Canis lupus familiaris: one gene and its partners. The protein of the gene in region 2 interacts with the protein of the main gene of each other region in a biochemical or structural test. Links are inferred from orthologs where the notes say so. Each region holds a gene or a part of one and is shown on either strand. Other genes may lie near its edges. The genes, in order: DCUN1D5, UBE2M, DCUN1D4, DCUN1D3, NAE1, CAND1 and RBX1.

Region 1 (3,970 bases), on a different chromosome or scaffold from region 2:
GTAAGTGGATCTGTACAGTTCAGACCTGTGTTGTTCAAGGGTCACCCTTGCTTAGTGTCCCCCCTCTCTTCTCAGACTCTTAAACCTAGTATCTTATCTCTTCTACACCTCTGAAATCATCTTGTGAGGCATCAGTGATAAGTGGAGAATCCGTATTCATCAGAACTGTGGTAGAAGTTAAAACTGTACTTAGAAGAAAATCTGTAGCCTGTTACACTAAAAGAAAAAAAAACCCCTTCATCCCCATGAACTAATATGTGATTTAAGAAGTTAGAGAAAGGATCAACCTGAAGAAAGAGAGAAGAAGATGTTCAGATATTAGTAAAACAGAAAGCAAAGCTGTTAAGAAATTCTGGCAAGATGATTAAGAAAAACAAAAAGCATAAATAAACAGTAATGTATATTAGAAAATGTTATAAACATAATCATCTTTAAATAAAATTATATGTGAAATAAATTCTCAGAAAACTATATCCATGATCAGTTAATTCAAAAAGAAATAGAAAATCTGAATGGTCCTATAACCATTAAAAATGCTGATTGAGTGGTTAAAAATTCCTTCCCAAGGTGAAAAGACCTAGGTGGTTTCTCAGCTGCTTTTGGACAAATTTTGGACAAATGCTAATTCTAGTATTCAGTAAACTTTCAGAAAACAAAAAAACGGTACATTATTTCACTTTTCTGAGGTTTGTGCTATGAGTTTGTTATCAAAATTAGTAAAGAGGGTGTGAAAGAATGAAATTTACAAGCCCATCTCTTTTATGAACATAGCCAAAAATCTAGCAATATATGAAACAGGTAGCATTACCCAGTTTGGCTTATTCTAGGAATACAAAGTTTAATCAACTTTAGAAATTTATCCAGAATATTTACACCTTAATAAAATTATGAATCACATGTCATATGGATTTAGAATAGTGAAGGTCTCAGTTAAATCTAAGCATGCTAGATGTCTGCTACGTGATAAGTACTGAAACTCAGATTTGAGTAGGATATTGTGGGTCACAGTAGATGGACCCTGATTTAATGGAAGGGAGTCCAATGGTCTGTCCGTGATGGCAAAATGTGAGTTAGGTTTTGGCTAGTGATATTTTGTGAAAATGTTGGAGGGAACACACCTCAGGTAGAGGCAGTAATATGCGCTAAAGCATAGCTGTGGCATTTGTGAGGGGTAGGTGAGCTAGAGCATGACAAGTATGGGGACCTGGCAGGGGATGAGATGAGTTGTGTGCCATTTGTGAAAGGTGTCCTCCACTCTGCTGCTTGCTCAACATTGGAGCATCTGTCAGCCCAGTGAGTCAGAATGCCAGTGAAGATCTTTGAGAAATCTGTTTGCTTTTTTATGTTTGGTATCTTATCTTTAGAAATAACATGGATAACTTGTTGGTACTCATTCGTCTATGTACCTAATTTGAGGTCAGGTACTGCCACTAAATATTTACTTTGATTTTTGTTACTAAAAATGTAGGAATCTGAATCTATGACTGAAGCACTAATGTGTTAATTTTCCCTGTGTTATATCCCAGACTTTTTTTTTAATTTTTAAAGATTTTACTTATTTATTTGAGAGTGAACGCGAGAGAGAGCGTGAGTGGGGGAAGGCAGAGGGAGAAGCAGACTTCCCACTGAGCAGGGAGCCCATTGTGGGGCTTGATCTCAGGACCCCAGGATCATGACCTGAACTGCAGACAGATGCTCAACTGACTGATCCACCCAAGCATCCCTATCCCAAACTTTTAAAACCACTCATGACTAATCTCTTTTCACCAGCCTGGTGCTTGAGAACTTTCCAGTGAAATATGTGACAGAGGCCTGATTAATTTCCTTTGTTCTGCCATCTTTTTAAACCTTACGTGTGGTTAAAGCACATTTTTATATGTCTCAAGAGGTATTTGTGATTTTGCTGGAGCTTTTCATTAAATTGTATTTTTTTTAAAGGAAAATCATTTAACTGAAATTTCATTGATTGCCAGGTTTTCTCTGTTTTTTTTTTCTTTTAATTCCATTGGTAGATACAAGGCAATTAGTTAATAACTCTAAGTTTGTGAATCAGAATTTTAAACCTAGGTTAATTTAATGAATGCACTCACTTTTTTCTTAATGCATTCTTCTAACCCCTTAAAGATGCTTTTATTAATTTTCTAGATCGTATAATGTATTTGGTTTTTTTAATTTAAGGTGTGACTGCACAGAAAAGTTACAGAACAAATTTGACTTTTTGCGCTCACAGTTAAATGATATTTCTTCGTTTAAGAATATCTACAGATATGCCTTTGATTTTGCAAGGGTAGGTGGAATTTCCATATTTTGTAATTTTAACCTTTATTTAATCTTGAAACCACACTTAGAAGAATTTTTCCTTGTATTTTAGGATAAAGATCAGAGAAGCCTTGATATTGATACTGCTAAGTCTATGCTAGCTCTTCTGCTTGGAAGGACATGGCCATTGTTTTCAGTATTTTACCAGTACTTGGAGGTATGTATGTTTTGTTTTTTGAAAATATTAATCTGATTAATACTAAATTTTAATTTTAAAGCTCAATCTGATGGAAACTATACCTTTTGATTGAGGAGAAACAAAATAGATCTTTGGATCCTGTGCTTTTAAAAAAATCTACTTTAGTAAAAAGTTTCTGTTAAAATGTGTGTGTGTATGTATGTATATATATATATAGAGAGAGAGAGAGATTGTTATTTTTAGATGCAAGTTCATGTTCATCAATATAGTCTGTAGTGAGATACTTCAATTCTAGCCCTGCATCCCCCCCATAAAAAAAGCAAGTAACCTTCAAGAAATACATTTTAGCAAAGACACTCTTCATGAAAAATTAGTTTCTTGGGTTTTGGGCAGAAGAGAGATGCTAGTGTACAAATTTCAAACTTCTAAATCAGGTTTCTTTAATACAAGATCATAAGCTGAAATCTTCATAAGGGAACCAGTTGTAGTAATAAACTCTCCTTTTCACTTAGGTTCAATCTAAATAATTAGAATTAAAATATTTTATGTTCACAAATATGAGAATGGCTATAATCCTGTACTTGAATGTACTGATGAGTAAAGAATGTATACTGACTTCATGGAGAAAGTATTCTTTTAGAAAGTTTAACACAGCACCCACTGCCGGCAGTGGTTCAAAGATAATGTTCTTTTTTCATTTGCATTTCTTTGACTCTCTGTCTGTTTTTGTGCCCTTTTGATTTTAGGGGTTTTCTTGAATTACAGATGCTTTTGCTTTTTGCTTTGAAAATGATACCTCATAAAGCTGATTATCCTAGCACATTCCTCAGAGTAACTTTGTTTGAAGCTTCTGATAAGAAGCAGTGATATGGAAAGGACTTAAGTGAATGGGTTTCATGTACATTTATTTACATCTTTAAGCCTAATAAAGTGGGCGTAATGAAGGCTAGTAAAACATATTTTTGATGGATGTTATCAATCTTCCTTGTTAGTTGTTTGGGACAAAAATAAATAGAACTGAGTGTAAAAGTATTCACCTCTAAGGAAGCTGAGAGAACTAAATATTTTTTAACACTTGTTATGTGGAGGGTGTTTGACCAACAGTGTTTCTTAAAATCTTTATAATGCTGTTTCAAATTATGCATTAACCTCCTTCAGCAAATGAAAAAATGGGCTCTGTTGTTAAACAGTGTTCCCAGGGTCCCTCACGTAAGTAGAGAAGTGGGGTTTGAACCCAAGCCAGTACTCTTTCCACAGCCTGCAAAGATGTCAACTTCAAAATGTGGTTAAACAGTAAATTTTATCGAAGAAGTGATGTTCTGGGCAGCAGCATGAGGGAGCTTAATGTGTGTCATATACATCATAGATCTTGATTCCAGGGTTGTTTACATAGGTATATACATGGGTAGACATCAGATTTTACCGTTACTGGTAGTACCTTTGATACTCCTGTTATTTCTCTAAAATGAAGGAAAGATAAAGGAAAATGTAAATTGGATAATGTTAACATGT
Region 2 (4,592 bases):
CATCAACCCTAATTTGGCAGTGGCCCAATAGATATAACATAGATAGGAAAAGCAGAGTGGCTGAGAAGAACAGAGAGGAAGGGATAAAGGAAGAGGAAGACTGAATCTGGAAGGACCATCTGAGTCCCATGACCAGCCATGTCTGAACCGAAAGAACACTGAGATGGCTGCAATGTCAACCCCAAACTTGAGCTGTTTGATGCTTCTGAGTCCCAGTTCTCATCCTGGGACCTCTCTAGCACTTAACTCTCAAAGGAGTCAAGAAAGGATGCTGGAAATGCAAGGCTAGAATAACAGGACAACCAGAAGAATGAAAGGAGTGTGGGAGATGGTGGCATTGTGAATGGAAGGGCCTAAAGAGGTAGCAGTTGCAGAGACACGGCTGCGATCAGTCCGTGGAGCCCAGGGACCTCAGTGGTACCCGAAGACCCACAGGGTAGGGCCTCTAAGGAGGCTAGGGCCAGCCCAAGATACGAAAAGGTGGAGGTGACTTCCTGAAGCGAGGATACGTGTCGAGATGGACGCCAGGTCGGGTCTGAGGAGGCGCAGGGCATGGAACGGCCACTCCCCCGAGGGGAGGACTGCGAGCCTGGGCAGAGGTCGACGGCTGAGAGGACCCCGTGAGCACCCCTGCCCAGCCCCAGCGCTGGCTCAACCGGACCGCCAAAACTACTTGTTCCACAACGCTCCAGGTGATGACGGCAGGTGGCCTCAGAGACAGACGGGGACGTACAGCGGGAGCCGCACTGGGTCGCAGAGGTGCTGAGAGACTGAGCACCGGCCGCACCCACCCACTGAGCGCGGTGCCGCGCTGCACACCCGCCCGACCGTTTCCATGGCGACAGCCGGACGTCATAGAACCGCCCCACGCCGCGTCCTCCCGCCCTCCGAGGCACGCTGAGCTGTGTGCGATCGTTGTGGAGGCTGGCCACACAGCGGAAGATCGCAAAGCGTGTCCGCTGGGTCTCGGGACCTGCTCCGAGAGGGTCCCCGCCCCACGTCCCATCTAGTGTCCACCCATGTAATCTCCCAAAGTGCTTACCACTAGCACAATACGCGTTTTATTTACTAGTTTACCTCATCCAGAATCTCCGCGAGCCAGTTGCTTTTGCGATGGGACATCGAGGTTGCTCGACCCCGCACTCTCTGAGTAAAGGCTATGGCCTCTCCGGGCTCTGGCCCGCCGTGATCACCTTGCCTCTGTGACCTCCAGGGGCAAGGACCTCATGTGACCCACCCCCACCACAATCTGCAAGGGTGGGCTGCCTACGAAGTGACCATCAACTGCCCTACTTAAAGATGGCGGTGGCACCGCCATTGACTGGACCCGCGAGCGTCCCCGGAAATGACCGCGGGACAGGCGGCACAAACGGAAATACCCGAGTCCAGCCGAAAAAGTCCGAATATTAAGACCTATTGCTGAGCAACGCGGGGCGGGGGTGGCGGCGGCCGTGGCGGCGGCGGCGGCAGCGGCGGCGGCCGCGGCGGCCGCGGCGGCTGCTGCTTCTGCGCAGGCGCATAGCGCAGGCCGGGCGAGAAGAGCCGAAGAGTGCAAGCGGCGGAAATATCCGAAGCGGTGGGGCGCCCGAGGCCGTTGCGGACCTCTGCGCCGAAGCCGCTGCTGCCGCGGAAGCCGAGCCTTTCTAGTACACGGCAGCCGCCACCGCGGCCGCCGCCTCCTCCTTCCCCTCGAGCCGCAGCCCCTCGCGGTGGGAGCAAGTGAACAGACAAGCGGCGCGGCCGCAGCTGGGCCTGAGGGGACCTAAGCTGGCGAGGGGGAGGAGGAAGCGGCTGGCTGGGGGCGGGGCCGAGCGGGCCCGAGAATAGCCGAGTCGGCCCGAGCGCCGCCGAGCGAGCCCGAGGCGCCGGGCCAGGCCAGAGCCGGACTACGGGAGCCGACGCGGGCCGCGCGGTGGGCGCGGAGCGGCGCGGCAGGCCGGGCGGGCGGCAGCAGCAGCGGAGGAGGCCGCGAAGGCGGGTTCGAGTGGCGGAGGCGGCGCAGGCGGCGGCAGGGGGCCGGGTGGCCGGGGTCCCGGGCCCCGCAGCGGCGGCAGCGGCGGCGGCGGCAGGATGATCAAGCTGTTCTCGCTGAAGCAGCAGAAGAAGGAGGAGGAGTCGGCGGGCGGCACCAAGGGCAGCAGCAAGAAGGCGTCGGCTGCGCAGCTGCGGATCCAGAAGGGTAGGGGGTCGGGGGATGGGGGTGGGGGTCGGAAGTCAGCGGCTGGGATGGGGTGATGTAGGAGTCTGGAGTGAGTTAATGCAGTCACCGGGGGGTCAGAGATGTCAGAGATGTGGCCGCAAATGTGGAGGTAGGAGGTTAGGGCCTGGGTTTCGGTGTGATGGGGGATCAGGGGTGAGTAATGCAGTCACCGAGGGGTCAGAGATGGGGGGCCGAATGTGGGGCACTTACAAGACTCGGAAAGCCAGGCATCTTGCATTGGGGACCAAGAATCAGAGAGTCAGGCAATGGAAGGCGAGTAGGAACCTGGGGACTCCACAGAGTATGAGAACATGGGTGATAGGCAGAGGAGATTGGATAGTGGGGGCCAAGGATTGGAGATAGGAGTAGGAGAGGATTTAGTGAAGTATATTGGGGTCATTGGGAATCAGAGTGAGATGGAGTGAAGTAAGTTTTGGGCACTGCGATTTGTGGGTCTGGGGGGGTCACATGGCAATTTGGGGTTTGGGGTGACACGTGGAGGAGGGAAGAACAGTGTGTGCTGGGGACTGGAGATGGGGGTAGGGTTAATTTAGACTAACATGCTGGGTGCTGGGAATCTTAGAGGCAATGTTTAGAGGGGGTACAGGAATGGGAATTCACATGTCTGAGGGTTGGATGGGTACCTGAATTTAGGATGACAAGCAGAGGAGAGGAGGGATGGTGGGGACGGCATTGGTTAGGGGCAGGGTCCTTGGATTTGGGTGGTCAGGTGGGGACCAGCAGTGTCTACTAGAAAATGGAGGTCATGGCCGGGGATCCTGGTGTTTGGGGTAGTTGTAGGCTCTTGGGGGGCCACACAGGGGTGGGAGTATTTGGGGGCTGGGGGGTTGGGTACGCAGCTGCTGGACGCTGAGACTTTAGGCTGTGGATTCGGAAGAGTTGGAACTTATCCCGGGCCGGGAGCTAGAGCATAACCACAGTTTACAATTCATGTTTGAGTTGTGCTGTGGATCTAGAAGAGCCTGCCTGGAGACTAGAAAGCAGAAAGAGTAGGGAGAGGGTTGGGGGTGTGGGGCACAGCCCAGGACAGAGCCCTGAGGGTCCTGGAGGAGGCCATGGGTGCTCTCCTGGCACCTGCACCTCCGAATGCCCTTGTCTTTCCATCTCCCTTTCCCTCTCATCGTTCCCCTTCTTTGCTATGCAAACCCAGACATAAACGAGCTAAACCTGCCCAAGACGTGTGACATCAGCTTCTCAGATCCAGACGATCTCCTCAACTTCAAGCTGGTTATCTGTCCTGATGAGGTAAGGGTACACTTAGTTGGACTCTGAGGCATGGGCCAAGGGGTCTGGGAGAGCACTTTGAGTTGGGAGACTTAGTTTACCTGCCAGGCGCTGCAGGATGATGTCCTAACACTTTCTTCTTTCTCTTTGCAGGGCTTCTACAAGAGTGGGAAGTTTGTATTCAGTTTTAAGGTGAGTCCCAGGTGGGCAGGGATACCTCCGTGGCTGAGGAGGCAACAGCTGAGGCCCCAGCCAGGCACTGCTGGGGCACTTTTCTATCTTCTCTCCCTTCTTGGAGCCAGGTGGGCCAGGGTTACCCACATGACCCCCCCAAGGTGAAGTGTGAGACGATGGTCTATCACCCCAACATTGACCTTGAGGGCAATGTCTGCCTCAACATCCTCAGGTGAGGGCTGTGACTTTGGATTGCACAAGTCTCTGTCCCTTCCTTCCCTATTGTGGTCTGTGGTCCTCTGTCTTCATCTCCATGTTTTCTTCCTCAAGTCTTGACCTTAGCTTTCTCCCTGGCCTGTCCTGCTGTGCGCCCTCCTCCTAGCCTCTCACATCTGCACTGTCCCGTGCCCTGGAGCTGACTTGTTCAGTCCCAGCAGGCTCTGTGTTGGCCATCCACTCACCAGCCCCTGACCTTGATTCTCCCTCCACAGAGAGGACTGGAAGCCAGTCCTTACGATAAACTCCATAATTTATGGCCTGCAGTATCTCTTCTTGGTGAGTAGGGGTAGGTGGGGAAGGCTGGGGAAGGTTGGCCCTTTCTGCTTTAAGGGCCTGTTGACCCCCACCTATACCGGCCACAGGAGCCCAACCCCGAAGACCCACTGAACAAGGAGGCCGCCGAGGTCCTGCAGAACAACCGGCGGCTGTTTGAGCAGAATGTGCAGCGCTCCATGCGGGGTGGCTATATCGGCTCCACCTACTTCGAGCGCTGCCTGAAATAGGGTTTGCGCACACCCACCCCTGCCAGGGCCACCAGCCCCGGCGTCCCCTGCAAATATTTATTGGGGGCCACAGGTGGGGGGCATGGGTGGCCGGTGGGGGAATCCCATGCCCTGACCTTGCCTCCCCTCCCTGCCACCCGCTCCTAGTTATTATTTTTTTTTTAAACCACCATGTGATTAAGGTCGGCGCT
Region 3 (3,970 bases), on a different chromosome or scaffold from region 2:
GTAGAAAAAGGAAGTGATTTCCTTCTACCATTATCATGATCTTGTATATGCACACACACCGTATATACATACAAAATTTTCTGTCTTTGGTGGTTCAGTTAGGGGAAAAAAATAATATGAAAATCTGAACACTGTTTGCAAAGAAACTGTGAAATAGTGGTCAGGAGTAGCATTGTCTGTGTGCTTTACTCATTTAATGCCATTTAAAGGTTCACATTTAATCCGAAAGATTTTTTTGGCCAGATTTTGCAGTAAGCCGAACCTCTTCCAATCATTATTCCATCATGGGTCTTGCTCACACCTACAGCATTCACTTGTTCAAATGCACCATTAGCTTTTTACTTGGTTTAAATCATTAGACTTTTATGTTTTCACAAAACTTTAGGGACTAAATTAGTCATTCAATAGCACCAGATAGTTGAGGGGAAAACATGTTATCTAGACATTTCCTCAAGAAGGGTAAGGCAAGGAAAAAAAAAAAAAAGACACAAAATACAAACCTAAAAATACCGTCCTGTTTACTCTTGTTTCCTCATCCACATAAATAATGGCTATCACCTTTCTGTACAAATTACTCGGGTAATGAATGACGAGTGGCCCCTCCAGGAAAGGTCCTACTGTGTAATAAAGTTAGCTCAATGCTGGTGGTTTCGTGTCCACTGCCTGCAATGGACATCCTGCCAGGAAAAGCCTAGCATGAAAGAAAGAAAACAAAAGAAAACACCTCTCACTTACAGTATAGTTCTTTTTTCCGAAAAATTAGAAAATTAGACACCATGAAAGCTTAACTAAAAATCCAAACCACAACTGAAAGTGCTCTGCGGTTACAAACTGCCAGCAAACCATTAGGTTTCCGCGGAGGAGGCAAAATCAATGTTACTTGAATGGCACGGGAAGCATCGGCAGACCCAACACTGACTAGGAGAATGCAAAAGGAAAAAGAAGACCGTAAAGGAAGTTTACGAGAGTTTCAAACTCATTTAAAAAAAGGTGCAATTTTAATTTGTTCATTTGTACCTATATTCAAACTACTACGGCTTTAACATCAGAGAATAGAAACCTACACCTTGCGTGGTGAAAATCATTTGTGGCATGTGGGACAAGTCTATATGCTCAAATAATTGTAACTTTCATCATTTAAAAAACGCTCATATTTAAGGAAATCAAATTATATTTGGCATATGCCTCTGGAAAAGTTCTGATTCCCACCTCCTTCCAAAAGTTGGCCTCTTTAACAATGAGGTTAATTCTGGCAACATTTGCTTATGGTAACAGCTGTTCTCTCTTGTGTTCTGAAATGCTACATTTGAGACCAAATAAAGTATAATCGGTTCATCTGAAAAAAGGGACTAGAAATATGCCACAAAAATTATTTTTACAATACAGTTTTGCAGAAATAATCTCTAGGTGAAGCTTTTTCTTTTTATACACATATACAAAATTTAAACAGCAATATACACATCATCACAGTGAGGACGTTGGCAAATTCACCAATCTGTAGTGTAAATACAAACTGCAAAGCAGCCTTCCAAGAGAACAATGCTACACAGCAAGCAGAGCTGGCCCATTCAATAGCAAACACCAAAACGTCCCTGCAAAAGGGAGACAGTGCAAGAAAAGCAGCATGCGCTTTGATACAAACAGCAATTTATGGCTAATGGTTGACATATCTGTGGTAACAGTGACTCTCTCGCTGCTATGCATAAAGTCCTAGGACATCTGTTTGTCTTTATACCACTCCACAAACTCGTCCAACAAAACTGGCCCTAAAGAGAGAGAGAGAGAAAAAAAAACACGGCTATAAGGCTCTTCCCAGTGAGGAGGGTGTGCGAATGTATAGCGATGGGGGTGGGGTGGGGGTGGGGGTGCGTGTGCGAGAGCGCCCAGCGCCGGTACTTACACGCTCCATCTTCGTCGTAGTTGCTGAGGTCAAGGTTAATTGTCCTGCTAAACTCTAGCACATTGCACCACTGGTCTTTGTTAATAACTTTATATTTTGATTGCTGATGGGAGGGAAAAGTAATATGAATTACTGACACAATTAACAAATGGCACGGTTTCAACTGCTGTATGAATCAACTTAATAAAGTTCATGAAGGTTAACTCTTTCCATTTGAGGTATGCTAAGCACCAATCTGGGAGAAGGATGAGAGAGAGCAAGAGTAGAACTTAAGATGACAATTTCCATTAGAAAAATACCATGAGGGCTCAACACAAAATGACAAGCACATCAAAGAAACATGATTTTTATCCCTAGAAGTGAAATTTCTAGACTGCCAAAGCCCTTTTATTAAAAGGAGACACAGAGAGAGAGATAATTAGCCTACTTCATAGAGATCTTGTAAGAATTAAAAGAGATAATTTATGTAAAGTACTTCATTCAGTGTTTGGCAGAAAGCAGGTGCTAAATAAAGAGTAGCTCCCACTAATAACCCCTGCCCTGATCAGCACGCTCCCTGTCAAGCTGTCAGCGTCAAGCACACCCAGCAGCGAGGCACCCTTCGGGAACTCACCAAGGGCTCCCGGCGGTCTCAGCACTAGGTGCTCTGGCCGTTGGAAAAAAGTTACTGTTCTAATCACTCAGAACCTGAATCTCATCTTCAAAGTAATAAATTAGAAGACCCATGAAGTAGTTTTCCTATTCCTCTTAGACAAGAAATATGCCAGAGGCATTACTTTTTTTAAAGTACACAATTCCTGTATAAAGACTGAAAAATAAAACCCAGATTCAACAGTTTTTATATCCTATCCATGAAAACTCAGCAACACCGGGGAATAGCACGAGTAGGTAAAAAAACTAAGAGAGCTGAGCCCCTGGTTTGGGGACACAGACGCAAGAGAAGCTCAAACCAAAGGACTGCGGTGTCCTTTGAAAAGAAAAAAAGCAAACTAACGTAAAAGAGAGAACAAAGCCCGGACTACAAGTTTGACTCTAAGCAACTCAAAGCAAACACCAGTCAGAGACAGCCGAAGATGCTCCTGCAATTGTGCAAAGTCGGACTTGCTCACAGCAAGGTCTTTCAGCTAAAAAAAAAATTCCTCCTCTCGCTGGGGCTCAGATTTCTGCTATCCCCTGAGAACAAGGACCTATTTCTACTCATTTTCCAAAGAAAGCTGATGTTTCATGGGATAACCAGAGAAATCAGAACAGATCATCTGTAGACGTGGATTGGCGTGTAAACACCTCGTACAGTAAAACTAGTTTCCAGACTTGTCTTGAGGAGTCCTGGTTAGTGACGCTAAAAGCAATTTTTAGTGACAGTCCTCAAAGAATCCGGTCAGCTGGAAGTTCTTCTGGACCAGTGTGTCAAGTGAATTGTAAGAAAGAGGGTGGCAAGAGGGAGGCCGGAGTCAGGGTAGGGCCCAAGCTTTTCTCAAAGACCCAGCACCTTCATCCTTCTGGGCAGAGGGTGCTTTGTAAGGGGTTTGGGTCTGGAGGGCAAGAAAGATGCCAAGATACGAGACAAGCCAAGCAGCTCAAACTCCCATCTCAGACATTTCCAGGTCCTACAGTATCACCTGGCATCAAAACCAGCTCCTGATAAACCAGCAGCTCAAAACTTTGGATCATTAATAGTTAGAGCAAGCAACAACAGTGAAGTGCTGGATTTTCTTCTATCGCAAACATGAAGGAAAACTGAAACTGAGGGAGATATTGCCAGTTTGCCTCACACTTAGGTTGACCTAGGTCCCCATGTTCTCGGGGACAAGAGTGGATAACAACACATGACAAGCTTCTTTTAGTAAGAAGGCAGATGGCTGTTCTTTTAACGAAAGTGGAAGTTCATCGTTGTATAGAGCAGGAAATCCTAACGGAGGGAAAGCTGTTAAAGTGGGGTGACAGAGAGGAAAGGACAGAGCTGTGGCTGTCTCGGATGCGCCTGCACTGGGAAGCCATGTGGCACATACACCCCCCGCCCCAGACACACCCAGAGAAAACCGGTGACTGCTAACGGACAGCGATTACGTC
Region 4 (4,619 bases), on a different chromosome or scaffold from region 2:
TTTTTTTTTTATTGCAATAATCAACAGTACCTGCAAAACAGTAAGTCATAATGCTCCAAGAAAGGAAACAGAACTGATCAAAAAGGAGCACCACTTTCTATTTCCTTTTTCTTGCTCTTATTTTGCCTACCTATTCTGAGCCCAGCCTCCACCTCTCTGACCTAAACTTTTCATTTCCTTTTTGTTCACGAGGCTCTGGCTGTTACTCCCCTTTCCCATTCTCCCTCACCTCTCTACCCTCCCCCTCCTCCACCTCACCCCTTTCTTCCCAAGCCCTAGAACTTGCCAGAGTCATTCCTGCCAGTTTCTGCACTAGCTAGTCCCAGGAACCTGGAAGGCTCCTCCCATATATCTGCATGTCCGGCTTCTTTTTATTCAAAGCTCAACTTAAGGGTCACCTCCTTAAAAAGGTCTTCTTTGACTGCATCCCGATTAGACATGTTTTGTCATATCCCTGTACTTCAGCACTTAGCAAAGTCTGATTCGCTTATTTATTCTGCCCCACACACTACAGTATAAGCGCCATAAGAGTTCAGACCTTATGCCTGCATTCACCTTTGTCAACCACAGCCCAAAATACTGGCTAGCTCTTACTAGCTAATCAATAATGCTTGTTGAATGAATGAATTTTTGACTTTATATTCAATGGTTCCAAATCAATTAAGGTGAGAATAGTACTCATTCTTTTCTTTTGTTACAGTTCTGTGAAACATCTAAACATGATGTTGTTACTTGTATAATCAAAGCATTAAACATCGTTTTATCAGGCCTGAAAGCCCTGATGAGTAGGATGGGATCCGTTATAATTCTTCTAGCAATACGCATCATAAATTCAGTTATAGAGGCCCAGGAGTTATGGACACTTTCTAACCAAAGGACCTCTAAAATGTAGGCACTATTTCTTAAAGCTCTTCAGAAAACACAGTTCCGCATTCAACAGAGGACTACCAAAGAAAATATCAACATCAAAATAGGAACCATTACATTTCACTCTGAAATTCCTACAACAAGCTAAAAGAGGACTACTTGGTGACTTTTTTTTTTTTTTGAAACCCACAGAACATCAATAGAGATCTTCTTTCCAGTCATTCTCTGCTTTCTTCAAATAATTTTTGTTATTGGTTTGTACTTTTTTTTTTAAACAAATCACATTTTCTCATTTAAGTCCGTCTATACACAAAGAATCAGCTAAATAAATGAGAGCATAAGACAGAAATCAGCACAAGCCAAAAGTGTCACTGAAGACTTGTGTGAATAGAGAAAAAGATAAAAGAGCTATTGTCCAATTGCAGAAACAAAAAAGTAATATGGGGTTTTCTGTTCTCTGAAGTGCATCATGAAGTGTGGGTGGAGAGAAACACAGAAATCCAGAATTAGCCTAACATCAAATCATTTTGGAAAGAGTTGACAACATGTAAATTCCTCACACACAAAGTATTTAGAACAAGAGACTTTGATTCCTGGGCTATGATGCCATTTAGGAATCCTTGCAAGGGCTTTGGAATCCCAGTATTCATAGGAGAAAATGCTCATCTTAATTTGGAGCTACCAGGCATTGAGAGGTACTCCCAATGTGACATAGCCTGTAACTGAAGTATTACAAAGCTTGCAGGAAGATCTGGGAGAGGCTGAACACCAAATTCAAAAGAGGTAACCAAGGTACCAAGTGCCATAAAGGAAAAGAAAAAAAAAAAAAAAAACACCAGGATTACCACGTAGCCACAGAGAACTGAGGTGGAAACGAGGGGTGTATATGAGGAAAGATAAGGGGGAAAGGGGAATGGAAAAAAATAAAAAACAATACATTGTCACCCCGTCCCACTTCCTACACAGGATACAGGCAAAGCTTCCAGCCCCATTACCTCAGGCACAGATGGTTATCGTTTATAGCAAAGGTGCACAGAAAGGCCTTCAGGTCTGAGCCCCTTAATTCCAGGGCTGTTAATGATTAAAGGGAAGGATGGGGGTGGGGAGGAAAATGAGGGAGGAGGGAGCCGGAGATTCACCCACCACCTCCCGCTTGGACTCCTACCTCACAGAGCTTACCCGGGCCATAGGACCAGAGTCGACACCCTCTCCAGGGCTGTTCCAGCCCCCAGATCCCCAGGCCTGGGTTGAGGGGTGCTGGCGGTGGCGAGGCAGGGACAGTAGGCAAGTTTTCTTGCGCCCTGCAGCTGACACGCCACAGGCTCCCCTCACAGCCTCTTCTTCCAAAAGGACCAGTCCAGACAAGGCGCTGATTTCCACTCCTCCCCTTCCACCCCCTTTTCTCGAAGGTACCCAACCCCCGCCCCTTCATCTCTCAATGCTCCCCGCTTTTCCTTAACCCCCCCCCAAAACTCACAGCTGCTCCAGAGGTTCCTCCAGTCAAACCCTTTCTGGAAACGACGGCGGCCCGGCGGGTCCAAACCACCTACCATCCCCGCTCGCGTTTCCAGGATCCCTACCCGCGCCGCCGCCGCCTCTTCTTCCACCACTGCCGCCGCCTCCTCTTCATCTGCGGCCCACCGGCGGCGGCCGCCCCCAAGCCCCGCCCCCTCCATCGCCTCCTGCATCATCACTTCCGGTAACCCCGCAGGCCGCCCGCTCCGGGAGGGAGAGAATAGAAGAGGGGCGGGGAGGAACGGGTGGAAGATTGCGTCACGACGTACGCACGGACGTACGAAGCCGTCGCCAAGTAAGGGCAAAGAACTAGCGACGCGGAGGGAGGGCTGGGAGGAGTTGGACTGGATCATTTTTTGGCTAGAGTGGGGGTGGGGGAGGATAGCGAAAAGGGGTAAAGAGAAACTAGGGAGACGATGAAGTTGGCTATACTGTTGGGTATACGGCGGAGGGTGGGCTAGAGTATGAAGTTTCAGGGAGACTTGAGACCATCCCTGACCTGGAACTAATGGTTCCACGGAGGGCCCCCCCCCGGTGGTTTAGTCCGGCCTGGCCTACCGGACCTGCCCGACCAGCGTCGGCCGCGGCTCAGCAAGGCTCCCGGCGCCGCCTCCTCCTAGCCCGCGGTAGGCTGCGGCGCTTCTGTGGGTGGGGGAAGGCAGGCCTGACGCAGAGTGAGTGTAGGGGATGGAGACGCTGACTCCTGGCGCGGGAGACTTGGGGGAAGGGGTTGACTCCCCAGGGGCAGGGATGGGCTGGGGGCGGGGGTGCGACGTTGCTAGGAGACGCGCTTGTGTGACCCCAGCCTCGCGAGGGCGGCTCTCTGTCCTCGCCACCGGCCTCGGGACCCCGCCGGGGGAAGCGGCCCGAGGGCCAGGAAGCGGAGGCCTGTTTGGCGAACAGCTGAGATGCCGGTTTGGGGCCCAACAGAGACTTTTCCTGAATCCTTTGGATCCCCGAATGTAAATGTGAGATCAGTAGGGGCAATTCCGGGGGCGAGAGGCGTCAAGCTGGGGAAGGTTGACCCAAACGAGGTCCCGTAGAGGCCACGGAGGCTTCCTAGGACGGTAGTGAGAACCTGCTTCTTAAACGGCTTCGGTCCGCGAACGAGAACGAGACGGAGGCCTTGCTCCGTGACTGTTTATTGGAGTCCGGGAGAAAGTTAAAATGTCAGTCAGTAAGGAGATATCAGCAAGTACGACATGCCCCCCTAAGACCATAATACGGGGTGTGAAGCGGTAGGAGGTGGGAGGAAGGCCACTCCAGGTGGGGTGAGGCTTTTCAGATAAGGCCAGAGTTCCACGGAGATGCGTGAAAGGAGAGAAGCTAGGGAGTGGACTTTTCTAGATGGAGAAGAGAGCCAACAGGAAGGGTCCTGAGGAGGGAAACGGCGGGAAAGCCAGGTGGCTGGAACTGAAAGAACACGGGCTGGAGTGGTCTGTGATGGAGAAGTGGGAGGGCCTGATCATGCACAGCTAAATGCCCAAGGTTAAGGTTTGGCTGTTGTGTTACCTGAGGGTTTTGAGAAGGGGAGTGACCTGATTTACATTAAAAAAAAAAAAAAAATCACTCGGCTGCTGGCTAGAGTAGGGTAGAAAGTTGTCAGACCTGTTAGGAGGCTGCTGCCCCAGGCCCAGGGAGAGATGGGTAGTGGCAGTGGAAATGCAGATTATTAAATTCGGAATGCATTTTGGAAATAGAGCTTGCAAGACTTGCTGCTGGATTGGGTAGTGAAGTGTACGGGAGGAGGAGGGACCAAGGATGACTCCTAAGGGGAAAACAATTGAAAGGAGACCCTTGACACAGATAAGGCCTCAGAGATAAAAGAAGGCTCCCTTAATATCCCGCAATAATGAGACTCTCATAATCAGTGAGACTCATCCACCCACTATCCAGCTTCTATTCATCCTCTAAGCCCTGGCTCAAATCTCTTCCTTCCCTTCCAACCCCAGCTGTCAGTGCTTTTGGACTTGTGCGCAGGTGATTTGTGTCCATTACAGCAAGGCTGACTTTGCTTGTTAATTGTTCATATGTCTGACTCCCCCACGGGCTATTTCTTCTTTGCGTCCTTCTGGCTCCTGGTACAGAGCTTTGCCCATAGGGCCCACTGTGTAGTTATGGCTAGGTAGGAACACTATTCATAAGATAGCAGCCATGGACTTCAACAACTCTAACAAAGGGGCTTTTGTCCCACTGCTGCTGCCAACTGTCAGCCACAATCTAGATATGGTTAATCT
Region 5 (3,970 bases), on a different chromosome or scaffold from region 2:
CTGCTTGAGGTTCTCCCTCTCTCTCTGCCCCATTCCCCCCTCCCTAAAAACAAATAAATCTTTTTATTTTTATTATTTAAAAAGATTTAATTTATTTATTTGAGAGAGAGAGAAAGCACATAGGGAGAGTTGAGGGAGAAGCAGACTCCCCGCTAAACAGAGAGCCCAAGGTGGGGCTCAATCCCAGGACCCTGAGATCATGACCTGAGCTGAAGGCAGATGCCCAACTACATGAGCCACCCAGGCACCCCAATAAGTAAATCTTAATAAAAAAAAAATAAAAAAAAAAAAAGGAGTATAGAGCTGGGTTTCATGGATTCAAATCCTGGTTCTGCCATTTCCCAGCTATTTGACTGAATAAATTACCTTTTCGATGTTTCAGTTTCTTCATCTATAAAACTGGGATAATTATCATCTCTCTCATAGAGTTGTTGTAAACAGTAAATCGGTTAATACATAGGGTGGTTCATAGCAAAGAGTTAAGTGCTCAAGTATTAGGTTTTTATCATGAAATATGAAAAAAAAAATCTGCCCCCTAGTCAGTACATGGGAACTCAGTACTTTCTGCTCAATTTTGCTGTAAACGTAAAACTACTCCAAAAGTAAAATCTATTTTAAAAAATCTGCCCACTAAGTTTTTTAGCTTATTTTTAAAGAAACTGTGACCGGCTTGCATTTGAATTCCATTAGAGTGGTAAAATATGTTCATCTGTACTATAAACAGGTCAATTTTTCAGTAACATAGTTTGAAAACAGTGACTTACACATTTTGCAGCTTTATATATTTGCTTGAATCTGCGATCATATCAGGAATTGTGCCTCGAACAGGTAAATTTCCTTGACCCTCTTTGGCCACAAATTCCTTTAAGGCACGAGCTAAAATCCAAAATGATGGAGTCTAAAAGATTAAGGAAAAAAATTAGTATTAAGTGGCATCTGAATTTGACCCAAAGGTTAAGAGGGCACTATTTACTTTTGGTTGTTACCTGTTTGGTGATATTTATGCAGTGATCATCATTAAATATATCTTCAATACTGCTTGGGATCTAACAAAGGAACACAAAACATTTACTTATTCTAAGAATGTGCCCATCTATATTTTCAGTATTTCCCCAAATAAGTTCTTTGAATTGCTACATTCTAATCAAATACAAACTTCTGATGTGCTTAGACTTTAAAAAAAAATTTTATTTATTTGAGAGAAAGAGAAAGGCAGCACACAAGTGGGATGAGGGGAAGAGGCAGAGGGAGAAGGTAAAGCAGACTCCCCCGAGAACAGAGCCCCACTCGAGATCCCAGGATCCTCCGACCCTAAGATCATGACCTGAGCCAAAAGCAGACACTTAACTGACTGAGCCACCCAGATGCCCCTGTGCTTAGACTTTTATTGAGAATCAGTACTAGACAGAGATTTGAAGAGATAAGAGAGAATGGAAGGAAGTCCTTTCCTGCCCACTGTTGACACCATTAAAGACTGACCTGTTCTCTTCCATCATACATGGAGTAAAAAAAGAGTCAAAGTAAATCTTTCCATATAGTTACATTTGAAGATATAACAAAGATTTCAGACATTACTAGTAAGCTAGATTTGTAGTCCTTCGTGTGTCTCCATCTTGTCAAAAATTTGCAACCCTTACACCCTAAGTTAGTAACTATTGGAGACAACAACTCTGAAAAAAACTAAATAGTTAAATAAGTACTTCTAATGCTGGCAAAATCATCATGCATTAATAACAACTACAGAAGTTGTAGGCTTTGATTCTACAGCTGTGAGGAAAAAAGAAATTTCTTACTGGTAACCCTAACTGGTCTCTCTGCTTCTGCTTCCAGTTCCCCATGGTCTATTCTCTTCGCAAGAGCCCGAATGACTTTTTAGAAATATAAATCAGGTCACTCCGCTCCTTGCTCAAAACATCTCAACAGCCCCCTCCTGATCCTAGAACTCCTCATCCTCATGCTCTACCCCTCTGCTCTGCTCAGCTCAAATTTTGTTGATAGCACCTGGTATATTTATCTGTTTTCTAAGCTTACTAATAAAAAAAAAGTTCTTAGGAGAACTTTTTTTTCTTTTAAATCAGGGTAAATTTTACATTCAGTGAAATCAATCTTAAAGGTATAGCTTGATGCATTTTGATTACTATGCATGTCCTTCTAATCATCACCTCAATTAAGATACTATAGAAAATTTTCATCACCCCAGAAAACTGACAAAGAATACACTTTTAATTATTCACAACACTACCTCATCGTCTCCAAAAAGTTTGTAATGACAGCTGATGTGCTTTCTTAATGTGAAAGGCAGCATTTTTTACCATTTTAAATTATAAAAATATTCTTTTTTAAAACTTTACTTTTTTTTTTAAGATTTTATTAATTTATTCATGAGAGACAGAGAGAGGCAGAGACACAGGCAGAGGGAGAAGCAGGCTCCATGCAAGGAGCTTGACATGGGACTTGATCCCGGGTCTCCAGGATCACACCCTGGGCTGAAGGCGGCACTAACATGCTGAGCCACCCAGGCTGCCCATAAAAAGATTCTTATCTTAAAATACCAGTTGTGGGAACACCTGGGTGGCTCAGCAGTTGAGCATCCGCTTTCAGCCCAGGACGTGATCCTGGAGACCCGGGATCAAGTCCCATGTCAGGCTCCTTGCATGGAGCCTGCTTCTCCCTCTGCCTGTGTCTCTGCCTCTCTCTCTCTGTGTCTCTCATGAATAAATTAATAAAGTCTTAAAAAAAAAAAAAACAGTTGTGTTATTGAAATTTCCCAAAAACTTCACTGGTAAGACTGTAACAACAAAACAAAGGGCATCTAAACTGAGTCATCCTCCAAATAATATTTTACAACTTCATTAAGAACATCCTACATTTAGGGCAGCCCCGGTGGCTCAGCGGTTTAGCGCCGCCTGAAGCCTGGGGTGTGATCCTGGAGACCCTGGATCAAGTCCCACATCGGGCTACCTGCATGGAGCCTGCTTCTCCCTCTGCCTGTGTCTCTGCCTCTCTCTCTGGGTGTGTCTCTCATGAATGAATAAATAAAATTCTTAAAAAAAAAAAAAAAAAAAGAACATCCTACATTAAAAAAAAAAAAAAAAAAAAAAAAAAAGAACATTATAGCCAAACAACTACTGTCACGAGAAAATGCAGGGTAAGATTTAACTTTCAGGCAGTACTATTTTGGGCCAGCAAAATATCACCCTCATTATATAATTCCTACACCCAAACTGTGACTATTCACAAATCATGTACTTCAAATAATTTATATAAATATTTATTTTTTAGGGCAGCCCGGGTGGCTCAGCGGTTTAGCACTGCCTTCAGCCCAGGGCCTGATCCTGGAGACCTGGGATCAAGTCCCATGTCAGGCTCCCTGCATGGAGCCTGCTTCTCCCTCTGCCTGTGTCTCTGCCTCCCTCTCTCTCTGTCTCTCATGAATGAATAAATAAAATGTTTAAAAAAAAATTTATATAAATAAAAAAATAACACTATTATATGCTGAAGCACTGACATCCATTTTAACAAGGATGATGCAGAGTCTTTTTAAAATAAGATTCAATCCATATTATAAATATTAATTTCTAACAACTTTACAATTTAGGAAATATTTACTTAAATCTAAAATCAAGGTACCTGGATGGCTCAGTCAGTTAAGGACTAAACTTGGGATTTCAGATCAGATCATGATCTCAGGGTCACAAGATGGAGCCTGGCATCAGGCTCCACAATCAGCAAGGAGTCAGCTTGGGATTCTCTCCCTCTTCTTCTCCCCAGTGCTGCGCCCCCAGCTCATGCACACATGCACACACACAAGTATACACATGCGCTCGCTCTCTTTCTCTACAGTAAATAATTTTTTTAAAAAGTCTTAAGATCAACTATTTCACATGAGAACTTCAGAAAACACTTTTCTTGTATGAATTCTTCAGTAACACTTTTAATACCTGAGTTGTATTTAGGGCTGTGTTCACAT
Region 6 (3,970 bases), on a different chromosome or scaffold from region 2:
ATAAGGAGTTGCATCAAACGAGGAAGGCTGATCTAAAGGACGAATTACTTTGACAAGCTGTTGGGTAACAAGAAGTGCTTCAGATGTAATCTTGTAAAATGGGTCTCCAACACAAGCCACCACTGGAGGAACCAAAGCCTGAACGTGAGGATGGAAGACTTGAGGAGAGTGGTTACAAAGGATTACATACAGACACGACAAAGCATCAATCTTCAAATTTGATGAGCTTGATTTGTCATTCAGTGAGAAAATGATTCCTAAAAAAGTCAATGAGAAAAGTCCAATAATTTTTAGGTAGTTCTAGGAAAGAAAAAATTAAAAACTAATCCCTAAAATATTACTAAAGTTTCCGTTTCATCAAACTACCTCTAAAATAATAGAAACTCCATAATCTATAACTGTCAGTGCCAAAAATTTTAAGACTAGACTTTTTACTTGAAAATTTCTAACTTCAGGTGTTTAAAACGGTTTTTACGTGCAAATTAAGTTGTACAAGTTACCTTTTTGAAGGAAATGATTGTTTAAAGCTTATCAAAGACTTAATAAAGTCTGTAGTAAATCCCTAAAGTGATTAACTATTTTTCATACCTGGTACAAGTACAGGAATGTGTTGCGTTAGCGCCCCAGGTAGTACATTTACCAGTTCAGTTAACATGTTAAAACAACACTGTCGGGTCTTCACACTTTTTTCTTTCATCTGTTTGTGCAGAGCTTTAACAATGTTGGGAACCTGTAATTATCACACACTTATTAGCTGGTTCAGCTACTGGTATTTCCTCGGTACACTTAACATAAATTATCAGGGATGGGGAGAGAGGGAAGAATTTAACATGACCGTTTGATACAAATTTTGTTGTACCTATTACAACATGTGGTCTCTTGTAACTCTATCTGCTTTATACTGATAATAGAGAAAAGCCATCATTAACTTTCTACAGAGCAAGAAGTTTTCCTTGATTAATATTTAATTATGAAATACACAAGACTAAATAGAAATCAAACCAAATAATAGCACAGATATGCATTAAAAGAAAAGTGACAAATTATGGAGAAGAAACCATTAAATTGGGTCTTTGTCTTAGCTTTTAGTTTGCTCTCACAGTGAAATAGATCTCACTTCAAATACAAGCAGCAAGGTTATGATTCAAAGACACCTGCTTCTAAACTTTCTAACGTCTTGTTAGTTGGTAAAACCAAAACTGAGTTATTTATACTAATCTTACGGTATGTGTCTGTATGTATCCTCACACCCATATCAGATAGTGATCTGAGAGCTAGAGACAAAACCACCTAATTCATCACTTCATCAGAATTGCCCATGTTTTGCAGAACAATCTACCACAACCCTTGAATTGCCCATGTTTTTACCTGACTTCTATACCCTTTTCTCATTTCCTTCTACAATTAATTTTCAATGTTCACCTTTAAGTTCACCATGACTTTTCTGTTGTTAATTTGTACTATTTGAAAGCAAGACAAATATGTACATCTCCCCCGGGTTAGTTGTTCATTCCTCCCCAACATCTGTTTCTGTAATTTATAAAAATGAACAAATACATACGCCATGGGGCTGCTGTAGGGATTATATTTAAGATAGGAAAATGCCTAGCAGGCACTAAATATTCAATACATAGGAGCTATAGAGCTCTAATCGTTAGAATCTTAGAAAAGATGTACTAAAGCAAAAAATATCTATGCCAGTTGTTATTAATAAAATACATAAGTACTTACTATGTAATAGGCACCACACTAAATGTTTACATAGATCATCTCATTTCTCACTACCATGGGTAGGCTGTTCTAATAAACCATTATTACAAATGAGAAAAGTGAGGTTTAATAAAATGACTAACTTGTCCAAGATCACACCAGCTAAATTAGGAGTGAAGCAAGGTATGAACACAAATAGTGTGACTCCGCAGCTCTAAGATTTCTGTTAACACCAAAGATAATTTTACTGAATCTTAAAATTATTATCTAGTAAAATCAAAATACTTCAAATCAGAATAAACTATTTACAAGTAACATAGTATGAATGTACATAAACTACTACGTAAACATATCCTAGAAGTTTGCTCTTCCGAGGATGTTCTGGGACTTCAATTTCCATATAAAAAAAACAATTTTAAAATTTTGTAGTTACAGGCATGACTTTCAACCATACTTTTAAACTGACCTGACTCTGAAGCATGGTTAAGGGTGTTTCTCCCTGCTCCATGGCATCGGGGTCACATAGCCAACTTTGTACAGGACGAGTTTGCTTCAAAAGAGAAAGGTATGCATGAAAAACATCTGCCTTTACATTCTCTTCACGCTCTTTAAATCTGGATATCAGTGCAGGGGAGACAGTCTTGTAGAATTCTGGAAGCATTTCATGCCTTGTGCTAACTACAGCGTCCAAGCACTTGGCAGCTGCACGTCTCACTTTCCAACTCATGTCATCGTCGTCACTGTATTCATCATCACTCCCTAAAGAGAAGTTTTAATGTTAACAGGCTATTAATCATGGAAAAAGTTTATTGTTTAATAGAGAAAGTGAACAGATACTCAAACTCAGTTTTAAGATTTTTCACTAACATACAGCAATAGAGAAGCTTTAAAAGAACAAGGACTTAAGACTATACAAATTTACACATAAATTAACCTCTGAAGAAAAGAATCAAAAAAAAAAAAAAAAAAGAAAAGAAAAGAATCACAACTGTTTTAAACTTGTTAACCATCTTCTCACTTATGTGGGTAATGAGTAGCTTATCAGTCTTTATGATTAATTAATTTATAAAGAAGTTTCATGTATATTTGTAAAATTTTAAGTGTCCCAGCCTTTTAAACAATTATGACTAGAATTTCAAAGAACTCATCTAATACCACAGGAAAATCAAACAATCAAGGAGTTAATAAGATAAATCAAGAAATAATAAGACTGTGACTACAGATGAGGTGTTTAAAAAAAAGCACAGCTATCAATCCCAGGACATGCTGGGGAGAAAATCCTGACATGAGCTTTCCTTATGGCTAAAAGGGTTTTCACTAAATTTGTTGATGGGCTATTAGAAAAAACTAGGTGTATTTTTAACCTTTCAAGATACTCTCTTAAGGTAGTATAAAGAAACTATACTTCCTCAATCACAAATAAATTCTTTTAACAACAAAGCACCATGTAAAAAGAGAGCCCATCTTCTCCAAATTCCTGTGAATCCTTAGAACAATGTTCCAACACTACTGACTCCATCTTATTTACGTTAACTTTCATTGTGTGTGAAACCTCTGAAAATTATTTCCTTCTACCGCCATAAGGCTGAATCAGCTGGGTAGTAACAAAGTCAGGGGGATGGCAAAAATATTAGCAGTTCTCAGGATGGTCTAAAATTATCTAACAATAATTTTGGTGTTCTTAGGTAAGATTATAGTCCTGAAATGCAGATTCCTCACTGGAGGAAAAAGATGTCATCTCTTCGCTGGCTTATATTCTACTTAGCTTAGTGACAGCTAAACGTAGCTATCTATGCCTTAGAAAAATCCTAGGATTATGTAATAAAATTTTCCATTCTCCAGAAGGTTTACTTAATTTCATCCTAGCATATTACAGGAAAACCCAACCAAATACTTACTAAACCCAACACATTTGACTTATACAAGGTACTATATCAAAATGGACTATTTAAAAGCAAATAGTTGGGATCCCTGGGTGGCTCAGCAGTTTAGCGCCCGCCTTTGGCCCAGGGCACGATCCTGGAGTCCCGGGATCGAGTCCCATGTCGGGCTCCTGGCATGGAGCCTGCTTCTCCCTCCTATGTCTCTGCCTGCCCCTCTCTCTCTCTCTCTCTCTCTCTCGTAAGTAAATAAATAAATAAATAAATGAATGCAAATAGTTTTTCCCATGGCAACCCAACTATGGGAATTATTTTGCAAAAATATACTTAAGTGAAAAAAAGGACTATTTAAACGTTAAATACCCTAATCACTGAAATTA
Region 7 (4,409 bases), on a different chromosome or scaffold from region 2:
GGTTAAATATACACTTAATACGTTAACTTACTATGGGTTTTTAGTATCCCGTAGGGGCCTTTGGGAACACAATCAATTAGATGACAAGAATCTTAACATGGAATTATCACTCTAACAAAATTTGGGCTAAGGAAAACTTTGTAGGGTTCCTGTAACGTTTTAAGGTCTCACACAATTTTTCTCTTTCCAAGTCTGGTGTAAGCCCTGGTGGTGTTTTCATGGATTTGTTGTTCCTGTTTATGACTAAGGCAAGGAAACAAATCGCAGTTCTTCCGGTTTGGCAGTGGAGTCCATACACTCCATTATGCTCCAATTTTCTTTCAAGAGAAAATACGAGATTCCAAATAAGCCAATACGAGATTTAGGAGTGATCTAGCCGAGTCATACCTCTGCAGGGTTAGAGAGCCACAAGGGGTTCCGGGTGCAGACATGAAGTACAGGTGCTTTGGCTGGGAACGACCAGTAAGAATCAATGGCCAAACGCCTCACACAAAGTCAAGTAGGACTGCAGTGTGCCCACGGCGCAAGGAGCGGGAAGAGGATGGAGATCAGGGAGAGGGGACCCCCACAGTTAGGTGGCCAACTGAGGAACAGGAAAGGTGTGTTAAGAGTATGTGAAACTGAAACCCTGCGCCTTAACCAAAGGGCATTCTAGCACGGATGGCGTTTGGGGCGGGCGGGCGGCGGCATCCCCGAGGCTCCAGGTGGGCAGGTTGAGGCAGGACGGGAGAATGCCTACGCGGCTGGGCCCTGGAGAGGACATTCGGGGAGCTCCCGGCTCCCTGTCGAATCCCGAGCATTTCCCGAATCGGAATCAGGGACCTAACGGCGCCTGGGCCCGGCTTTCCCAGCGAGGCTGCACGTCGGGCCTGGCTCGGAAGCGAGCCGAGACCCGCGACACTGCGGGGTCTCCGGTTTCGGCTGCAGGAGGCGGGGCGCCCGCCCTGGCCGCTCCCCGGGCGGAACGCTGCGGAAGACCCGCCGGCGCTGGAGCGGTGCGGCAGCGGGGAAGGCGGGGCGGGGCCGGGGCGGCAGGTCGCGGCCGAGGCGGAGGAAGCAGCCGCCGCCCCAGCCGAGGGAGCGCGGCCGGGGGCTTCCCGCGGGAGGAGACTAGTCTTTCGAGCGTTTCCACCCGGTTCGAGCACGTCGGCTCGGCCCCGCCCGGCCCCGCCCCGGCCACCGCCTCTTCCCCAGCCGACTCGGGGGCCGGCGGCAGGAAGGAGGAGGGAGGGACCTGCGCCAGCGCCTTTAAGAGGCGTGGCCACGTGCTCCGCCCCCACCTGCCCCTCGCGCGCCAGTAAGGGGCGGGGTGCGAGAGGAGGTGCCGGGCCGGGAGGGGGAGCGAGGCGTGCGCTGGTGCGCAGGCGCAGTGGCCGGACGACGGACCGTGTGTTTCCAAAATGGCGGCAGCGATGGATGTGGATACCCCGAGCGGCACCAACAGCGGCGCGGGCAAGAAGCGCTTTGAAGTGAAAAAGGTTGGGTCTCGCCAGCGCCTTCCTCAGAGAGGCTAGAGAGGCGCGGATCTGGCTGGCAGGCCCGAGGATGACCGAGGCGCGGAGGAAAGGGCTTCATTTCAGGGCGTTCCTGGGACCGGGTACCAGGAAAGGAAGCTGGGGGGCGGGTCTTAGAGTTGATCGGCGTGACTGGGGCCCACTACCAATGGCAGTATTGGTTTCACTAGGAGTCTGAGGGGCCAATCACAGAGGCGCTTGTTGAGATGCGCGGGGTTGAGACTTGGCTGAGGGAGCCAAGCGCCTGAGCTGTCACTGGAGTGGTGGAGGGGTGGGGAGGAGTGGGTGGGGTGGATGGAAGGGGGAGTCGGAGCGCTGCGGTGGGTGGAGGATGGGGGCAGTGCGGCGAAAGCCGGGACCTGAGTTCCTACCGCAGTGGAGGCCTTTGAGGAGCCCGGCTGGTGATCTCCTTGCCCCGCCCCTTCCCGAAGCTCGGGGTCCCTCTGACTCTGAGGGACCCCAGCCTGGTCCTCGCCTCCTCGAGGCCTCCCTCAGCCCTCTCTCTAGTCCTCGCCCCCGCCGAGTTAAAGTGTCTCCAGTGTAACAACTCTTGGCTCTTCTGAGAGGTCTGTTGGTTTGTCACACAGCCTCCACAGTCCTGTGCTCGTTTCCAGAATCCCTCTGTCCAAAAAGGAAAAGGGGGGGGGGGGGGGGAAAGCATGGTGGAATTTGTTAAAAAGAAAATGCGAGCCCAAACCTTGTGTCATTTAGGAAGGGTTGAGTACTAGTGGCGAACGACCTGGTGACTGTGGGAAAGCAAAAATGTGGAACGTGTCTTTTTGCATGAACTGCTTTATAGTGGTTTGCCAACAGTTTGGGAGGAAAGTGCCGATTCTCACATGATATAAAATAAATCTGTTCAAAATGAAGACTCAAATAGGGGAAATGTTATTCCTGGAACATCTGGCTAAACACTGACAATATTCCCCCCTCCTAGTGCTTTTTTGGTGTTTCATTGTGGGCACTGCATGCTCAGTTACAGCCAGCAGCCATATTGAAGAATAGAAATAGGGTTTTGTTGTGTTTTTTTTTTTTTTTCCCCCGTTCAAGTTGAAGCTGTCGGAAAGTGCTAAAGAAGTTTAACTAGACGGGGAATTGCGTTCGAAAGAGATGAAGGTTTTGGAAGTGGCACCAAATTGGTGGATGAAAAGGGAGTTTGGGGATATTTATAATTGCAGAAGCCAGAAAGGTTGAATTACTTAAATACCGCTTTTAAATGAACTCTTAAGTGGAATTATCTGAACTAAATAGGAGCCTGAGCTTGTAAAAGTTTAGAACACCAGTTTATTTGATGGAAGGAACTAACCAAAATTTTAGTGAATTCTAGAATTTGTTGTGAAATAATCTTGTGAGATTTAAGTGATGACCTTGCTCTGTACTGACACTGGATAATTAGTTATCCAGCTTATCCCACGATTACCCATTTTATGATCCAATCATCATCTTAGTTCATTCTGTCCCCAGCTTTCACCTCCCCACTCATACCTTCACAGCTGCCTTGAAGAGCGTATATTTACCTTTGCAGAAATTCAAATTTGTGCTTATTAAGCCTAAAACAGGCTCTCAAAAATTATTCCCGGTTTTCTTACATTGATACAGTTGACTAAATTATTGTAAGCTGTAGGAGAAAATAAAGAGGATTCATTAATTTATGTTCATATACTCAGCCTTTTGGAAAATGGGTGAGCACACTTGTAGTCTGCTGTTGCCCTCTGATAAAATGAATAAGAGTAAGGTAATATCCCCAAGCTCCTGTGTCTGGTGGTCCTTGTGGCCAAAGAGATGATAACTGTAGCTGCAGCATGAAATCCTAGAGTGTGTGTACGCCTGTGTTACAAGGAGAGTGCATTGTTCCCCCTTTTTCTCTTTGCAGTGGAATGCAGTAGCTCTCTGGGCCTGGGATATTGTGGTTGATAACTGTGCCATCTGCAGGAACCACATTATGGATCTTTGTAAGTAACTGGAGGTGGATGGGAGGAAGTTGAGAAGGTTACAGAGATTGTGGCTATTCTGATGTGACCAAATTTCTTCCCAAGGAGATATAAAGCATAGTCAGAACACTTGGTGTCTTCTGCCTCTAGTCCGTTGGTATGTTTGAAATAGAGTAGATTTAATGATATCCTGGAGACATACTCATCTCTCAGAATAAATCTACTCAGTCTAAAGATGGCAAGCACACATTTAGAATGAGTTGTGGACACAGAGGCACTGTTGATTATTCCTCTATATTTCCCATCTCATACCCAGACTCAAAGGCAAAAATAGTGAAAGGAAAAAAAAAAAATAAACTTTGAGCTAAAATATTCTACCAAAGCTAGTTTTTGCTTGGCAAGATTTATAAAGAAAAGAAGCCAAAGAAGTAAGGAATTTCAGTGTTAGCCCCTAAGTTAAGAGGACATCGGTGCCAGCATCTAAATAGACAACTAATTGCAGTAAAGAAGTTTCATTTAAATCTACAGATTCCATCCCATATAGTAGCCAGTATATGGTGGGTTTGATTATAGCTATCCGTGGACTCCGTGTCCTTATAGTAATAGGGGCAAGTATGTTGATCACACCAGGAACAGCTGAGGTTACTTTTTCTTCCAGGTACTGAAATGGTTTGTTACAGAGATCAGATATGAGATGAAGAAATTTCAGCTTTGTAGAGTTGCATTTACAGGCACTTACTTTGAAAATTACTCACCTGCCTCTCCAGCTTCATCTTGCACCACTCTCCTGCTCACTCTGGTAGTTTCTTTGGCTTTCTTTCCATTCTCGAAGTGTCCGTGCTCTTTTTTAGAGCCTTTAATATGCCCTGTTCCCTTTGCCTGGAATATTCCCCTTCTCCCCACTACCTTTGCCTGACCCACTACTGTCCAATCTAAATATGAGCCACAAATGCAAGTACATACA

Evidence for each region.
Region 1: the proteins of UBE2M (region 2) and DCUN1D5 form a complex in vitro, tested with the Homo sapiens proteins (3 studies listed by BioGRID). The link is inferred for Canis lupus familiaris from reciprocal best matches to the Homo sapiens genes UBE2M and DCUN1D5.
Region 3: the proteins of UBE2M (region 2) and DCUN1D4 form a complex in vitro, tested with the Homo sapiens proteins (3 studies listed by BioGRID). The link is inferred for Canis lupus familiaris from reciprocal best matches to the Homo sapiens genes UBE2M and DCUN1D4.
Region 4: the proteins of UBE2M (region 2) and DCUN1D3 form a complex in vitro, tested with the Homo sapiens proteins (4 studies listed by BioGRID and IntAct). The link is inferred for Canis lupus familiaris from reciprocal best matches to the Homo sapiens genes UBE2M and DCUN1D3.
Region 5: of the proteins of UBE2M (region 2) and NAE1, one has a biochemical effect on the other in vitro, tested with the Homo sapiens proteins (4 studies listed by BioGRID, with this or other methods). The link is inferred for Canis lupus familiaris from reciprocal best matches to the Homo sapiens genes UBE2M and NAE1.
Region 6: the proteins of UBE2M (region 2) and CAND1 form a complex in vitro, tested with the Homo sapiens proteins (2 studies listed by BioGRID). The link is inferred for Canis lupus familiaris from reciprocal best matches to the Homo sapiens genes UBE2M and CAND1.
Region 7: the proteins of UBE2M (region 2) and RBX1 form a complex in vitro, tested with the Homo sapiens proteins (15 studies listed by BioGRID and IntAct, with this or other methods). The link is inferred for Canis lupus familiaris from reciprocal best matches to the Homo sapiens genes UBE2M and RBX1.

The regions. Positions count from the first base shown.
Region 1 is NC_049226.1:28,900,596-28,904,565, forward strand, and holds part of DCUN1D5 (DCN1-like protein 5), read left to right. Parts: intron 1-2,178; coding exon 2,179-2,287; intron 2,288-2,371; coding exon 2,372-2,476; intron 2,477-3,970. UniProt on the Homo sapiens protein: Contributes to the neddylation of all cullins by transferring NEDD8 from N-terminally acetylated NEDD8-conjugating E2s enzyme to different cullin C-terminal domain-RBX complexes which is necessary for the activation of cullin-RING E3 ubiquitin ligases (CRLs).
Region 2 is NC_049222.1:100,125,899-100,130,490, forward strand, and holds the start of UBE2M (NEDD8-conjugating enzyme Ubc12), read left to right. Parts: upstream 1-1,523; 5' UTR 1,524-2,070; coding exon 2,071-2,179; intron 2,180-3,371; coding exon 3,372-3,466; intron 3,467-3,598; coding exon 3,599-3,637; intron 3,638-3,747; coding exon 3,748-3,851; intron 3,852-4,110; coding exon 4,111-4,174; intron 4,175-4,260; coding exon 4,261-4,401; 3' UTR 4,402-4,592.
Region 3 is NC_049234.1:45,578,372-45,582,341, reverse strand, and holds part of DCUN1D4 (DCN1-like protein 4), read right to left. Parts: intron 2,004-3,970; coding exon 1,901-2,003; intron 1,767-1,900; coding exon 1,711-1,766; 3' UTR 1-1,710. UniProt on the Homo sapiens protein: Contributes to the neddylation of all cullins by transferring NEDD8 from N-terminally acetylated NEDD8-conjugating E2s enzyme to different cullin C-terminal domain-RBX complexes which are necessary for the activation of cullin-RING E3 ubiquitin ligases (CRLs).
Region 4 is NC_049227.1:24,694,687-24,699,305, reverse strand, and holds the start of DCUN1D3 (DCN1-like protein 3), read right to left. Parts: upstream 3,147-4,619; 5' UTR 3,057-3,146; coding exon of another isoform or gene 2,891-3,056; exon of another isoform or gene 2,749-2,890; intron 2,537-2,748; exon of another isoform or gene 2,345-2,536; intron 2,215-2,344; exon of another isoform or gene 2,047-2,214; intron 1-2,046. Other genes in the region: LYRM1 (LYR motif-containing protein 1), read left to right, coding at 2,891-3,008. UniProt on the Homo sapiens protein: Contributes to the neddylation of all cullins by transferring NEDD8 from N-terminally acetylated NEDD8-conjugating E2s enzyme to different cullin C-terminal domain-RBX complexes and may play a role in the cell cycle progression by regulating the SCF ubiquitin E3 ligase complex, after UV damage.
Region 5 is NC_049226.1:83,061,459-83,065,428, reverse strand, and holds part of NAE1 (NEDD8-activating enzyme E1 regulatory subunit), read right to left. Parts: coding exon 3,942-3,970; intron 1,047-3,941; coding exon 987-1,046; intron 899-986; coding exon 765-898; intron 1-764. UniProt on the Homo sapiens protein: Regulatory subunit of the dimeric UBA3-NAE1 E1 enzyme. E1 activates NEDD8 by first adenylating its C-terminal glycine residue with ATP, thereafter linking this residue to the side chain of the catalytic cysteine, yielding a NEDD8-UBA3 thioester and free AMP.
Region 6 is NC_049231.1:10,026,902-10,030,871, reverse strand, and holds part of CAND1 (cullin-associated NEDD8-dissociated protein 1), read right to left. Parts: intron 2,470-3,970; coding exon 2,177-2,469; intron 731-2,176; coding exon 589-730; intron 258-588; coding exon 1-257. UniProt on the Homo sapiens protein: Key assembly factor of SCF (SKP1-CUL1-F-box protein) E3 ubiquitin ligase complexes that promotes the exchange of the substrate-recognition F-box subunit in SCF complexes, thereby playing a key role in the cellular repertoire of SCF complexes.
Region 7 is NC_049231.1:25,235,757-25,240,165, reverse strand, and holds the start of RBX1 (E3 ubiquitin-protein ligase RBX1), read left to right. Parts: upstream 1-1,318; 5' UTR 1,319-1,400; coding exon 1,401-1,478; intron 1,479-3,387; coding exon 3,388-3,466; intron 3,467-4,409. UniProt on the Homo sapiens protein: E3 ubiquitin ligase component of multiple cullin-RING-based E3 ubiquitin-protein ligase (CRLs) complexes which mediate the ubiquitination and subsequent proteasomal degradation of target proteins, including proteins involved in cell cycle progression, signal transduction, transcription and transcription-coupled nucleotide excision repair.